2 linked regions of the Astyanax mexicanus genome follow. The protein of the gene in region 1 purifies or fractionates together with the protein of each later gene. This does not show direct contact. Links are inferred from orthologs where the notes say so. Each region holds a gene or a part of one and is shown on either strand. Other genes may lie near its edges.

What was found. The genes of interacting proteins can lie anywhere in the genome.
Region 2: the proteins of lrrc41 (region 1) and drg1 purify together in Homo sapiens (affinity purification with mass spectrometry; 3 studies listed by BioGRID and IntAct, counting the BioPlex papers as one, with this or other methods). This does not show direct contact. The link is inferred for Astyanax mexicanus from reciprocal best matches to the Homo sapiens genes LRRC41 and DRG1.

Annotation. Positions count from the first base shown.
Region 1 is NC_064412.1:53,953,956-53,961,079, reverse strand, and holds the start of lrrc41 (leucine-rich repeat-containing protein 41), read right to left. Parts: upstream 3,022-7,124; 5' UTR 2,846-3,021; coding exon 2,770-2,845; intron 1,797-2,769; coding exon 1,710-1,796; intron 1,608-1,709; coding exon 1,531-1,607; intron 505-1,530; coding exon 60-504; intron 1-59. Other genes in the region: cytochrome b-c1 complex subunit 6, mitochondrial, read right to left, coding at 3,911-3,943, 4,750-4,911, 5,139-5,171, 6,280-6,324. UniProt on the Homo sapiens protein: Probable substrate recognition component of an ECS (Elongin BC-CUL2/5-SOCS-box protein) E3 ubiquitin ligase complex which mediates the ubiquitination and subsequent proteasomal degradation of target proteins.
Region 2 is NC_064427.1:20,149,146-20,157,059, reverse strand, and holds the start of drg1 (developmentally-regulated GTP-binding protein 1), read right to left. Parts: upstream 3,024-7,914; 5' UTR 2,830-3,023; coding exon 2,791-2,829; intron 1,593-2,790; coding exon 1,469-1,592; intron 770-1,468; coding exon 594-769; intron 1-593. UniProt on the Homo sapiens protein: Catalyzes the conversion of GTP to GDP through hydrolysis of the gamma-phosphate bond in GTP. Appears to have an intrinsic GTPase activity that is stimulated by ZC3H15/DFRP1 binding likely by increasing the affinity for the potassium ions.

The DNA of each region.
Region 1 (7,124 bases):
TATTACTACTACTACTACAGTTAATATTATTTTAATATAGTTATTATTGCAGTGCCTACCCCTGGAGTCTGTAGTTGCTGAAGACTGAGAATTGGTCCTATAAGGTCCTCTACATCTGAAAGTAATCCAGCTAAACAGAGAGCAGTCAGGAGTTTTCTTCAGAACCACCTCAGTCACAGAGCCGTGGTCAATAAGACGATGGAGAACGAATAAAAGTTCTGCATTTCCATGTTGGAGAAGAGCCTCTGCATCAAACAGCCTGAGACACCTCACGCTCTTCTCCAGAAGGGACAGAATGGGTCGGTGGTCCGGTGAAGCCAGCCGGCAGCCTCCTCGCACGGCGAGCGTGAGCGTCAGCACCTGCACGTGTTTGGCTGACATGGACAGAACTGCATGTTCACTCAGATTTGAAAGGAGGTTCTGCACTTCCGCCTTTCTCAACAGAACCATGTGGAACAAACTCTCCAGACACTTCTGCTTCCAGTTCTCTTCAGGCTGCATGAACTGAAACAATAAAACACCACAGTGAATTAGTAAACACACACTGGAATCAACTGACAATGTAGTTTTATGTACAGTGATGATGCTAAATTCAGCACTGCATCAAGAACTATCATTCAGTAAAAGCTGATAGACCCACATGAGCAACAGATTCCTTTGGTAAACCTTTGTCTACATAAGGCAACATAAAACTTTACTGTATAAAACAGAGGCCTTATGATAACCATATCCAGAAGTGAGTGTCAGCTTTTCTGGGCTTGGAGGCATCTGGACCCTTACAAACCATATGTTTTTATATGTGTGTATTTTTTATGTACACAGTTCCTAATGCCATTTAATCTGTGTTTTTATAACACACAAAAAAAAACATGGAAAAATATTAAGGTACTAATTTTCTGCACAGGCTACACTGATGAAAGACTGAAGTACTTGTGCTTTAGAATTTACTGAAATTATATTTGATTTACTACAGATGATATTTCTACTACTTTTTTATAATAATAAAATAATGGCACTGATTATAAGGTCTTCAGCATCACCATTTATATAAGAATTTAAAGGGTAACTAAACCCCCTGATTTTAGCTGACTCCACCCTCAGCTCCAATTTGAAAAATGATAAAAAAAAATAAGTGGTAGTTTAGGAGGGGCACTGAGTGATGTATAGGTTTAGGGGCGGGGCAAAAGGGAGAGCTGATTGGGCTGAGCAGCGAGATGCAAATGGTTGGACGTAACATGCGGGGTGGTAGTAACATCCCCCTCAACTAAAGCAAGACCACTTTTGTAAAAAAAATTAAGGAGAATTGGTATGTTTCATTACTTTAAAGGAAAACATTTCAGCTATTAATGAAAGAAATATATGGTTTAGTGGTTCCTTAAAAAGCGTAGTTGCATAGAGCATAGAGCTGGCCAGAGACTACAGCCTTTACAGCTTATTTACAGTTGTTTTTTTGTTGATTAATGAGCATTGTCCCTGTCAACTAAATAAAATAAAAAAGTCAAAGCAAAAAGGAAAGAAAAAACACACAACCTTTAACTTGCAACGCCATGTATGATTCAAATCCCTCCATTTATCTGCCCACACAATCTGGAGAGAGGTAGAAATTCCTACAATCACAACAGATCATTTGTCAGTTACCATTTTTACACAGACACTGATGGATAATAGAAAGAGTGAGACAGACAGAAGTTACTATTATAGTAACTTACGTTTAAGTTGTGCAGTTTTTTCAATTCTGTCCAGGTAGAACATGTTCAGGTGAGGCAACAAATCTTTGAGAAGTGAAGCTGGCAAATCTAGAAAAAAATGTACATTATATTATCATTGTCATGCCAATAGTATTACACAGGTCTAAAAAAAAAATGAAAAAAACATATAAAGAGAAAGTATATCAAAATAAGAAAGCTTTTAAATTTATTTCATATATATATATATATACATATATATATATATGTATATATATACATAAAAAAATATAAAAAGAATGAAAAAGTCTTTCATTATAATGACTTAAGAAAATAAAATAAATAACTAGTACTGAGGATGTTGAGTAGGACATAAGATAATTATGATATTAATTTATAATTAATAAATGAATAAGTGTAACCTACACGACCTCAATAATTTTTGCTGACCTCAATATTATAAATGATATAATATAAATGAACTAGCATTAAAAACAGCATATTTATTTGTTACATTTGTTTTATTTATTTATGATGATTTAAAATATTCAATAGCCAGTAATTAATCTTAATAATTATAAAAGATTAAAATAGTTTTTTTATTTATTTACAATAATGTTGTTTATCTTAATTTATTTTTTTGGGTGGGGGGTGGGGGGGGGACAGTATATGGTCAAAACAAACACAGTTATTGTGACAGACCTAAAGTTAAGTCATTATGTTGAGGCACCAAGTAATTACTTTAGATTTGTATCTTAAATAAATGGCAAAATTTAAAAAATATTGAGAAGGCAAAATTACAATCTGGATGCAATATCTTAAAAAAAAATAATAATTTATCTCTAAATAATGACACAGTAACTTATTTCACAAGAATGACTTAGTAACTGAGTTTAAAACCAAGTTATTTTAAGATGTTAGGTTAACTAGGTTAATTATTTTAGGATACATATATTTTTAAAAATGCTTCTACATTAATGTTGCCGTTTTAAGACACCACAATATTTATCACATATTTTTAAAACAGATTTTGTGTAGCACTCCTGTATCAGTGAATTATTAATGTGTAATTTGATAATTTTACCAGGGATTTTCTGCTCCAGCAGGTCCATATTCTGAGCTACTGCTCTGATACTCAGGGACACCAGGGTAGATAACATACTGCTGCTGCTGCCCGGGTCTCACAGTTACTACAGAAATTCCACAATTTCACTAATTTCACCCTCAGAAAAATCTGTTCATCAGAGACAAACAGGAGAAATATATCCACACATTTCCCTCCCAATATCTCTATAGTTAGCTTAGCTAAACTAGCTGAGCCTGTGAATATTCCACAACCAAGCAAACGAACACTTCAAAATAAAAGTCACGACTTTAAACTGCAATTAAAAAGTCCTTATTTTCACACTGGAAAACTGAATTCTAATTTTAAAATTATATATTTATAAAATGTTATTGAAAACGTAAAAAAATAGAATTAACATTTTTTATTGTTACTATTAACTATGTATTTATTTATTTAGACCAAATAATAAAAAAACTTAATTGATAAATTAGTAAAAATATTTTAATGACAGACTTTTAAATAGTAACAATAGTTTAATTATTTTAAAATATTTTCATGCTTCAAAACCTCAATTGATAGATTTTTAAATGTAACTAAAGTACAAATAAAAAAATATATAATTATCATTTTAAAAAAATAGCTCACTTACTATTGAAAATGACTATTAATAAACAGAATTACAAAAACACATTTTTTTCCGAACCTTTAATCTATTTGTGGATGCAAGCAGACATGTAGTCCTGCTTTTGCCATTACAAAGACAATCACATTAAATTGATGCCTTACAGTATAATAAATATGATTTTATCACATCAATTATCTTTTAACATATCCATTTATGTCAGCCTCAATTAAGGCTAAAAATTTAAATATTAAAACTATGCTTTTCATGGAGAAATCAGTTTATGGGCTTGGAAAGGTTATAGCCTTTATAACTTTAACCAGGAATTTGACAACAAGAAGTTGATATACTTAAATGTTTATTGCAAAGATGTACACATTACAATATTGTATTCACAATTCATCAACATAAACACACTGGACAAGCTGTTAGGTACAGTAGGCTGATCTGAAGAAACTCAGCAATCACATCACTGGAAATAACAGTGGAACTCAATATTGATACGGGCAGAAGTTCATCTAGAGGGTCTGAGGGTCTTCATTTGACTGAATGAAAGACCTTGTGGGCCACCTGGAAGACAGAAAACATATATTAGCACGTGTTAAAAGTGCTGGATGAACTGGTCCTTACAAATTACTCAAAACAGTCAGTCATTATTCAGTCATTTTTATTTGTTTAATGCACCATAAAATCAAGATCATTTGATCCAAAGCACCGGGCATGGTAGTAGGTTTTCATTCAACTCAAGATGGAGCATATCTTTAATTTGCTAGTCTAAAAACAGGGACTTTGTTACATTAAGTCTACCTAGAGTTGCAGCGTGCTCCTGTCATCTAAACTGTTTGGTTTAAGAAGTTTTACCAGTTCCACTTTTTTGTAACTGCATGTAGATACTTCACGTTTGATGAAGGTCATGATGGATTAACGGTGGCTGGATGGAGTGCCTTATGTATTTCATCACTCTAAAGGCGATTTACTGTGGATCTCAGACTGAATATGCATAATTTGACTTATCATTCTAAATATGTATAATTAACCAATAATACACGAAAGGAAATGCTGTAACTTGTAATATTGGCACTGTCCCAATATTACATGTTATAGCATGAACCTTGAGTGTATTATGGTGATCATACCACAGCTCCATTATCACTGTTTATTATTATTTTTTTAATTAAAGAGGATGAGAAACTATGATCTGTTTTCTTATAAACACTGCGCCAGTTAAAATAGTTCCATTGCTGCTCTGTTTGTAGCAGTGCTCTTTGGTTTGTAAGCGCTGCATCGTTACTATGTTACCTGTATGTGGTGGAGTGATACATGGAGAACTTTGTTTTTGAGTTTTTAAACGGGGATGGGGAAGACGGCCTACTCACACAGTGGTCACGCGCGTGCAGGAAGTCGAAAAGCTCCTCTGTGCAGTCCTCTGTAGTTTCAGACCGAGAGCCCACTCTGGTTTCACAAGCCTCTAGCTTCTCCCGTGCGTGAACACAGTGCTCCGTCTCCTCACATTTCTGCCTGATTGTTTCTAAGGGATCCTACACACACACACACACACACACACACACACACACACACACACACATACACACACACACACACACACAATAAATTACATACTACAGTGCTTGATTGTTTACCAACAACTGCCAAAATACTATGTATGGTTAAAAAAATCATTTAGTACACCGAATTCTGGCCCCTCCAGACCAGAACTCGACAAGCTTTTTTTTAACAATTGTAAAATTGTGTTTATTTATCATACCACCATTTCTTCCTCATCCTCTTCTTCTTCTTCCTAAATGGAATAATTTGGAGAAAAAAAAACAGAAACACAGTTATTTGAGAAGACAGTAATGCATTTAATATTCAGATTTAAATTTTAAAACGACCTTTCAGTTGCTATCAATAGAAATATCACTTAAGTGAAACCATCTATTCTTTTTTCCCCCCAAAAAACTTTTTTTTTTCCTCCAATTAAACCACCCCTCCCCCCTCAACTCAAGTCTCCTGCAATCAGGGTCAGGACTTAACGTCCTCCGACACGTGTGTTTTCTTTTAAAACAATATTACCCAGCCAGGTCTTGTGTGAAGTTTCCACCAATCAGTGATGGTTTGGAGAGGCATGTCATCTGCTGGTGTTGATCCACTGTGTCAAAAGTCTGTACAGAGTATTCGCACAAAATCTTGCAGCACTTCATGCTTCTCTCTGCTGACTCTTGGTCTTATATTATATTCTAATTTTTTGAGACACAGATTTTTGGGTTTTCATTGGCTGTAAGCCATAATCATCAACAATAAAATAAATACATGCTTAAAATAGATCACTCTGTGTGTTTAATACATCTATATAATATATGAGTTTCACATTTTAAACTCAATTACTGAAATAAAGTATTTTTTTTTTAAGATATTCATTTTTTTGGAAATGCACCTGTATTATACATGCTATAGTGGGTTAATTTGACCTGTATTTGGATAAAGATAATTAGAAGTAAAGTAAATTCAGTCGAAATTTTAATTTTTAAAAGGGTGTTAAAAGGGTATTTTTATTATATTAAGAGTTGTCAGTGTCAGTGATTATAAAATGGGCTTAAAAGTGACAATAATATAGTTTACAGCTAATTATTTCTGAAATAAGATATCTGTGAGCTGCATTATAGAATAATATTATTAATATTAGACTGTGTAGAGCTGTATTTAGTAATTATTCAGATCAGTGTAACAACAGAGAACAGTTTAATCAGTTTTAATCAGCTGAATGAACTGACTGTAAACCTCAGCAGCTTCAGAAAGGCGTCAGATGAGCTCCAGGCCCCTAACCAACCTCAGTTACAGTAAATAACCCCCCTATAACCAAACTAAAACCCAGTCTTTAATAAACTGCGGATCTTATAATCCCTCACCTCATCAGGCTCTCCGTTCTGGATCATTTTCTCCTCGAACACCATGATTTCAGCCGGTTTGTCCTACAGCTCGCCGACAGCAGTAGAGGACAGTGTGACACTGAGCGGAAACGTGAAGCACGAAACTAAGGCATTTATGATTTTATTAGCGAGACTGCCCACTTATAATCCCCCATTTATATCAGAAAACGACTCTTAACCGATAGAGGGAGCCCGCGAGTGAGCCCTTAATGAATGGGAGTCAATGGAGCTAAACGGCTAAAAACTCAAGTTAAAAATACTAATTAACTACTTTTCCAATATATTCCTTTAAATTAAAAAAATATAACAAACTGTTCTCCAAAAACAGCAAAGACACCTTACCTGTACGTTTATATTTTTCTACAATAAACAGTTTTCTATCAACAGTTTCGCTAGCATTACTGCTACTTTAGTTGCTGGCAGGTTGGTGAGCTAAAAGCTAACTGGAGTTTTTAACCCTAGCACGTCAAAAAGTCTTCTAAAAGTCTATACTTCTATGCAATAAGGAAAATGCGTACTTTGTTAGCATAAAAATAATGAAACATTTATAAACTACGATTTTACTTAATTGGTCCATTATAAAACACAATTTTATACTTCCTATTTTATTGTATTTTTACGTATAATTATATCTTATTCTTTTTTTAAACTTCTGTGCACTATGTACACCTGCTACTGAATGTCCAGAATTTCCCTCTGGGATCAATAAAGTGTCTCTCTGTCTGTCTGTCTGTCAGCCCCCATTCATTTTAGACTCGCTCGGGAGCGCCCTCTGGTGGCCTGACAAAAACGGTACCTCAAGTGAGTAATCTTTGCTAGTGCAG
Region 2 (7,914 bases), on another chromosome or scaffold:
AATTATTTATCTCTTTATTTTACTGCTTTACATTTTAGCCTGTGCACTTATCCTTGTATTCTGTTTTATTATATTTCTTATTAATTGAAGATTATATTGTTTTTACCTTTTAATGTTTTTTTTTTTTTAAGTTCCTTATTTTAGCTTAAGTTGATTTTGATGTTAATTTACTTATTTTTTCAGTCCTTTAGTTTGTAAACTTGGCTCAGCTAAGATTACCCTCAATATATCCCAGAGTAAAAATAAAGGTAAATTGAAAAAATTAAGATGATTTCTCTCAAATCATGAATAACCAAAATAAAATTGAGCAGCAAAGTCATATTTCGTGCCTGCAGCTGAAACAAAAGGCTATTTTAGCTCTTGATGGAAATTTTATACCACATTAGTTAGCACTGTAATAACCGCAGGCTCTCATTATGTTGTGTGGAGGTGTTCAGTGATCTCTAATAGACTTGATTATGGAGTTTCGGACAGTTTAAAACTTTGTTATGTATAAACATGGTGTAAAGTATATCTTCTAATAAAGACAGATGTTGAAGTCAGATTTTGTCTGTAGTTTTGCCTGTTTTAAAGGTAAGAGCTGTTGTAAGAACCTGGATTTTGGCTCCTTTGTAGCGGATGACTCCCGGCACTGTGGTCAGCGTGGTGAACTCGTAGGCGGCGACCTCGGAGTAAACTCCAGCCAGGTTACTCAGCAGCGTGGATTTACCCACAGAGGGAAAGCCCACGAACCCGATACGCGCATCACCCGTCTTCGCAACATCAAAACCTGAAACAAATAAAAATTAGTGTTTTAATAAGGAACTCAGCTTATCATAGCTTATTCTTCTTATTTAATTTATTATATTATATATTATATTTATTGTACTAGTCTTAACTGTATTTCTTCATTAATTTGAGCTTGAGACCCTGACTGTCTGGGTACTGCAATATAAACATTACTGCTAGTAGGGATGTTCCCAATAAGATCATGTGATTGGAAATTGGGGTCTATCACATCATTTTTAAACAATTCGGATTACCGATTTGCATGTTTGCAAATGCAACGCAAACAAAAACATATGCAATATATGCAGCTACACTAGATTTGATTTATTTTTAATTTTTGGGCAATAAGAGAAAAGACGAAGTCATTTCTACAGAGTATTCATGTTCGCTTTGAAAAGCAAGACAAAAGTACTTATAAACTTTTTAATTTATAAAAATGTAAAAAAAAGGGACTAAATTGATATGAACCTTGATGTAAACATCCAAAATGTTCATTTCAGTACATTCTTTATTATTAAACAACCAAAATTCTCATAGCTGCTTCATACAAATCTGTAAACTAAGTGTACAGACACATAATCATCATCATCATCACAAGTGTACCCTAGAAGTTCTACACTGTTTTTAGAATAAATCTTAATCTTAGTTTCTTAATAATATGAAGTTCCACAGTTTTAGAGAAAAGCCTCCCTGCTCGTACCTTCTCCAGGTCCTCCTCCTCCGCCTCCTTTAGGAGTGATGAGCTCTCTCCGGAGTTTGGCCAGTCGGGCTTTCAGCAGCCCCAGGTGATGAGCTGTGGCCTTGTTTTTTTGAGTACGAGCCATCTGTAGTACAAGATAAAACACAGTTGTAGCACTTTATATTATAAATGTAATAGTCATATATCAGCACTCTGAACAGTAAACATCAGAAACCCACCCAAATTTATTTATTTATTTATTTTAGTTTTTCCTACATTGTAAATGAATAATGAAGTGATCCAGACTATGAAGGAACACATAAGGAAGCATGTGGTAACTTAAAAGTGTTAAACAAACCAAAATACTCTGTGAAACGTTTAGGTGCTATTTTCTGGAAGCTGTTTGCTAACTTGCAGTTTCTGAGGCTGGTAATTTTGATGAACTGATCCTGTACAACAGGATTGCTCTTGCTATTGCTCTTCCTTTCCTTGGGGCGGTCCTGATGAGAGCCAGTTCCATCATTATAAAACGTTTTTTATGGTCTTTGCAGAAACTGCACTTGAGGATACTTTCTTTCCTACAGTTTACTGTTTTATTCTATTAAAAGGAGTTTTTTATTATTTAGTTGAGTAGTTCTTGCTTCTCATAATCTGGATTAGAACATTACTCAAATATTCACTATTCACTGTATACCTGTAACAATACCTCTTCACTACTTTACAACTGATGCTCTCAAACACTTTATAAAGAGGAGAAGAAATTCAAGTAATTAACTCTTGATGAGTTCAGCACAGCTGTTAACTAAAAGCCTGAATTCCAGTTGACTCTACCTCATAAAGCTGACTGAGACAATCCAGCTGAGATATGCAAAACTGTTATGCAAGAGGTGCCACTTTAAAAAATATATTCTGGTTTGTTAAACACTTTTTTTCTTTACAAAAATAATTTCAGTACTCAATAATTTACAGTCATATATGCTACTACAGCTTCTTAAACCTGCAATACATATGTTTAACATTATTTAAATATTGGAACAGTAACTTAAATAGACAACATCATAATATTCGTAATTTTAGATGTATATTTTGTGGTAATATGCTCATGTTTATAGTTTCTATAGTATTTAATTTTAGATATTTTTACTCTAAACAGGTCCCAGTGTTTCCTAGCAGTATTAGGAGCACTGTAAAAGGTCTACATTAATATAAACAGCTAAATACAGTTTCTCAGTGAGTATAAATGCAGTAAAATAAGAGTATTTATCAGTTTATTGAAGATAAAGCGCTGTAAAAATGAATGGAGGCGAGTAGCGGCCCGATGCTAACAGGCTAATCTCACTAACCTCGTTCTCTATTTCTGCGATTTTAGCGAGTAAACTCATGTTTGCGGCGCTGGGTCGGTCAGAACCGGGTCAGGGGGAGCTGTATCAGGCGGAGCGGGCTCGGTTCTGGTTCTGTTCGGCTCTGTAAAGTTGGATTTTCTGGGTTTTAGCCGCCGCGCTCAGACTTCTGACATGCTGTGCTGTAGATCCTCGCGGTTCCCGGCGCTGAGCGGAGGGAGACAGAGCCCCACCTGCTGGACAGGAGTAACAGCTGCACACAGCCACCGTCACCATATACAGCTGTGTGCAGCAACATAAGAGACCACCATTTCAGTTTCTGAATCAGTTTCTCTGATTTTGCTATTTATAGGTTTATGTTTGAATAAAATGAACATTGTTGTTTTATTCTATAAACTACAGACAACATTTCTCCCAAATTCCAAATAAGAATTTTGTCATTTAGAGCATTTATTTGCAGAAAATGAGAAATGGCTGAAATAACAAAAAAGATGCAGAGCTTTCAGACCTCAAATAATGCAAAGAAAACAACTTCATATTCAAAAAGTTTAAGAGTTTAGTAAGTAATATTTGGCGGAATATCCCTGGTTTTAACAGGGTTTACTATACAGTATCAACATGTTCTGCATTGTAGACTAATACCAAACTCAGACAAATTATAATGGAAAAATTGTTGTAAACAAACCAGAATATGTTTTTTTTATTTCACATACCTCAAAGTTTCACCTCTTGCTTAGATGGTCAGATTTATACATCTCTGCTGGATTTTTTCAGTCAGCTTGTCACTTGAAATTCAGGCTTTCAGTTCAGCTGAACTTGTAAAGAGCTAATTACTCTTAGTTGAATTTTTTGCCTCTTAATAAAGTGTTTGAGAGCATCAGTTATATATATATATACATATATTCTGATATTAATATCAGAAAATAACTATGAACCGCTAGAGGGAGCCAGCGAGTGAGTCCTCAATAAATGGGAGTGAATGGAGTTAAACAGCTAAAAACTCAAATTAAAAATAGTAATTAATAATTTGGCCAGGATATTCCGAAAAATATATTTTTCAAATTAAAATGATTTTGCTAAAAAAGCGTATAAAACTTACCTGTACATTATTCAGTTTTTCTACAGTAAACTGGTTTTAGGCAGTAAAGGTGCTGCATCACTGATACTGTGAGCTGATTGGTTGGTTGGTGAGCTGATGCTACAGCCAGAGCACTGAATTTAAAATCTTTAAAATGCTCTGCTGTGCTGAAGGGTTTTTTGAAAAAAAAAAAAAAGAATTGCAGCTTATTTATTAAAGGATAAAAACCCACATATAATATAATAGTGTTATGCATAAACGTATTTTGTATATATGTATGCTTAACCAGAGCCTCACCCACAAGATCAGTTGAAGAAACGCCACTTCAGTCTGCTGGTTGAGAACCTCAGACAGTACACAGCAGGGCTGGACTGGGACAAAAAAATCGGCCCTGGCATTTTTGCTTTAGAACGGCCCCTCATAATTTGCGGAGCACAACCAACATGTAATTTATGTTTGTGGGGTTACAGAGAAGCATAATGTATCATCAGCATATTAAATATAACACGTTTATTGTCTAATTTTAACTCCGCCATTTGTGTCTGCTCTGTGTAGTTCAATTGATTTTTTATCTTTTTTATTGAAATAATCTCTAATATGTATTTGTTTTATTTCTATTTTTTCAGGTTAAAGGTGCTTCCTCCTTTAAACAGCTATAACATGTACTTGTATCAGGCTACAAATAGGGCATTCTATATAGCCTCACCATTATCAACTTCATAATAAAAATTAACTTTATTCTAGTCATGTTTTGTTTTTTTGGGATGGAATGTTGTAACAGGGCTCAAGCTCTTTTATTAAATGCTTGAAACCAGGGTTCACTTCTACTCTCATCATGAGAGGATCTTTTGATCTAGGTAGAACAAACAAACAATGGGCATGATTGTGGCGCTTTATTAAAAACAAAAACAACATCATTACTTTAACTACTAATATTTTATCATTATTACTGGATGCATTTTAGTGTTCTTTTTTAAAAATATCAGCTTTAAATTGATACAATTAAATTATATAAGTGGTGTCAATCACTTACATCAGAGAGAGAGCGAGAGAGAAAGAGAGCCAGGGAGAAAAAGAGAGACAGAGAGAGAGAGAGCGAGCGAGAGACAGAGAAAAAAGGGAAAGAGCGAGAAAAAGAGAGAGAGAGACAGTAAGAGAAAGAGAGAGAAAGCGCGTGATTAGGCGAGCGAGGGAGCGAGAGAGAGACCCCCTCTAATTTGTGGGCCGAAGAAAAAAATCATCAGCCCCTAAGGACTGTCGGCCCACCGGGCATTTGCCCGGTACACCAGATTACCAGTCCAGCCCTGGTACACAGCAGGATTAGCCTGCAGACTTCGTCTGAGGAAGGGATCTGTACCTACTGTCTGCTGCAAGTCAGGAGATGTAAGAACTTTCAAATAATGAATTATAGAATTGTTTCTATTACAGTGTTATGCCATTTAGCACAAGCTAACACTAAGGTGTGGTAAACGCTCAGTGTAAACATGTGTTGCCAACAAGAGCTTATTGGCATAAAAGTGACAGAGCCCTAATGGCTTATTCTGAAAGGGACTGTGTGTGTGATTTTCCTTAAAAAAAACTTAATGAACATGTTTGTATAGCACATAGATCTACAATATTGTAGCTTGTGTAAAAATATGGTATATAATAGGTCCCCTTAAAAGTAGAACTACATTTTGTAGTAAATGTGGGCCTGGGTCCATACTTGAAATCAATATATCACACATTATATACAGACATTTTGTATCAGATATTACACATATTAATAGTAGAAAAATAGTAGCTTTTTTTAAGTACCCCAATCATGTACGTACTACATAAAATATATTTATATTTATACAATTCAGCTTAACAACCAGTCACATGTTCACAGAATACAATCAGCAATAATCTTAATACTCCCATAAACCTCAGCACTTACTTTGCTGGCCAGACGATTAATACTAAATAGATAGAAATCCTCTTCTCCTATTAGGTGCTCAATGAATGGCTCTGCTAAGAAGTTGTACTCTAAATATATATGTCAAGGTTTTTGTTTTGTTTTTCTATTTCCTCTTCCACCTTTTTTCTTATTTCCCGCCTTTTATTTCTTTATTTTTTCCCTTTTACTCTTGTAGTTTTTTTTATTTTTTTTTATAATATATTTCACTTAAAACACTGCGTTAACTGAGATCTATGCTGTTTATGGAGGACCAAAACTGCCAAAATTAAAAATAAATAAAGAAATATAAACGTATGTAAATCATTCAATAAAAGTAATACGGTGATTAAAATAGTAAAGAATAATTATAAATAATATAAAAATAAATATCTTATTTATGTATAAATTGTTATTTAGGGGTGTCTTTATTAAAATTATTTAAAATATTTTTTTATTTTGATTCATTTGTTTATTTATTAACATGACTATTTATTTCTGCATTCATTTATTTCCCGGTTTATTTATTTATGTTTTTCCTTGTCCTTATATGATAATGAGAGGTCTGTCCAGTAATGATGTCACAGTGTCTTAGCATTCCTATTGGTTAATCGATGTCAGATACCCTAGATGGATTGTACATTTTTTGCTCCTTTGGCAGTAACTTTGGTAACGTGGAAAATTATTTAATGAAGATCACTTAGATCGTAATACAGACTCTGGTCTATTTCTTTGAGGTGAGCAACATAAGCTACTGCCTCTCTGAGCAGATCCGATAACAAACTTCTCCCCGACGTTTCAGCTCCTGGACTCTTCTACTCATATCAGCTCCTTTCTTTCTTGATTGCTAAACCTGTACGTGAAAAACACGCCCCCTTCATTATCATATAAGGACAAGGAAAAACAGAAATAAATAAATCTGTAAATAATGCAGAAATAAATATGCAAATAAATAAATTAATAAAAAAAATAAAGAAACAAATTATTAACATATTTTAAATTATTAAGATTTTATTTGTATGTATATGTATATATTTTTATATTAATCATAATTATTCCTTACTGTTTTACATCACCATATTACTTTTATTGAGTGATTTACTTACTTTAATTTTGGCAGTTTTGGTTCCTCCATAGCTGTTTAACCAATCATTTAAAAAACCGAATAAACAAATTACAAAAAAACAACAATACAAACTCAGCACTCAGACACCAGCAGCACAAATTGTTTTTGGTAAATAGTTTCTTTTTATTGTTCATATTTACTTTGCATACAGTATAATCACTCAAATGTTGGTGAAATTGCTGGATCCACCATCGATCTGGAACATTGTGTAACCTCGTAGGCCTGCCGGAACAGGCCGGGGGGTGTTTTTGCTTCGTCAGGCTACATAATGCACTGGTCTCTCCAGCATCAGGCCATCAGATGAGTCGGGCATCCAAAAGAAATCATAGATCAGTCCAGAACATGCGAGCAACTGGCAACGATTCACCAGGCATCAGATACACGTCACAGGAGTCTCTAATAAAAGAATCGGAAGAAATATCCCTTTAAACTGCTGTACTGTTCTGACCCGACCCATGCAGGAGACCAGGACGCTGCAGGTCCTGCAGGATAGTGCAGATTAGGCATAGTCTCAGGCTGAGTTTACCCTGCGGACTGAGGGTAATAGTTTGGGACTAAACCGAATCTGTGTGGAAAACTACTTTTACTGTTTCTCTGTTCAAAGTGACCCTAATTCAGCTTTAAAGGGGAACCCTGGTGTAAAATAGAATTGGGTTGTAGCAAAACATAAAAACAAATATGACATTTTTTGAAGTAACCCACCTCCATTCACCCCCAGCACTCTGAAATACAGCACTTTTGGCTGATGCTTCCAATGGGCTTACAGTGCAAACGATAGGAGCATAGAATAGCCGTGGAAATTAGTTTTTTATGATCTTTGGTAAGTTTTAGTTGTTTTTTTCCTAGCTTGTTTTGTTTCTTTTCTTTTATTGTTTTTAGTTATTGCTTATTTATATTTTACTCTTTTATGTGTTAAGTTTTATTTATTCATCAGTAGTTGAATTTTTATTAGTTCTATTAGCTTATTTTTTTACCTATGATTTTATGATTCCTACTCTTAAATTC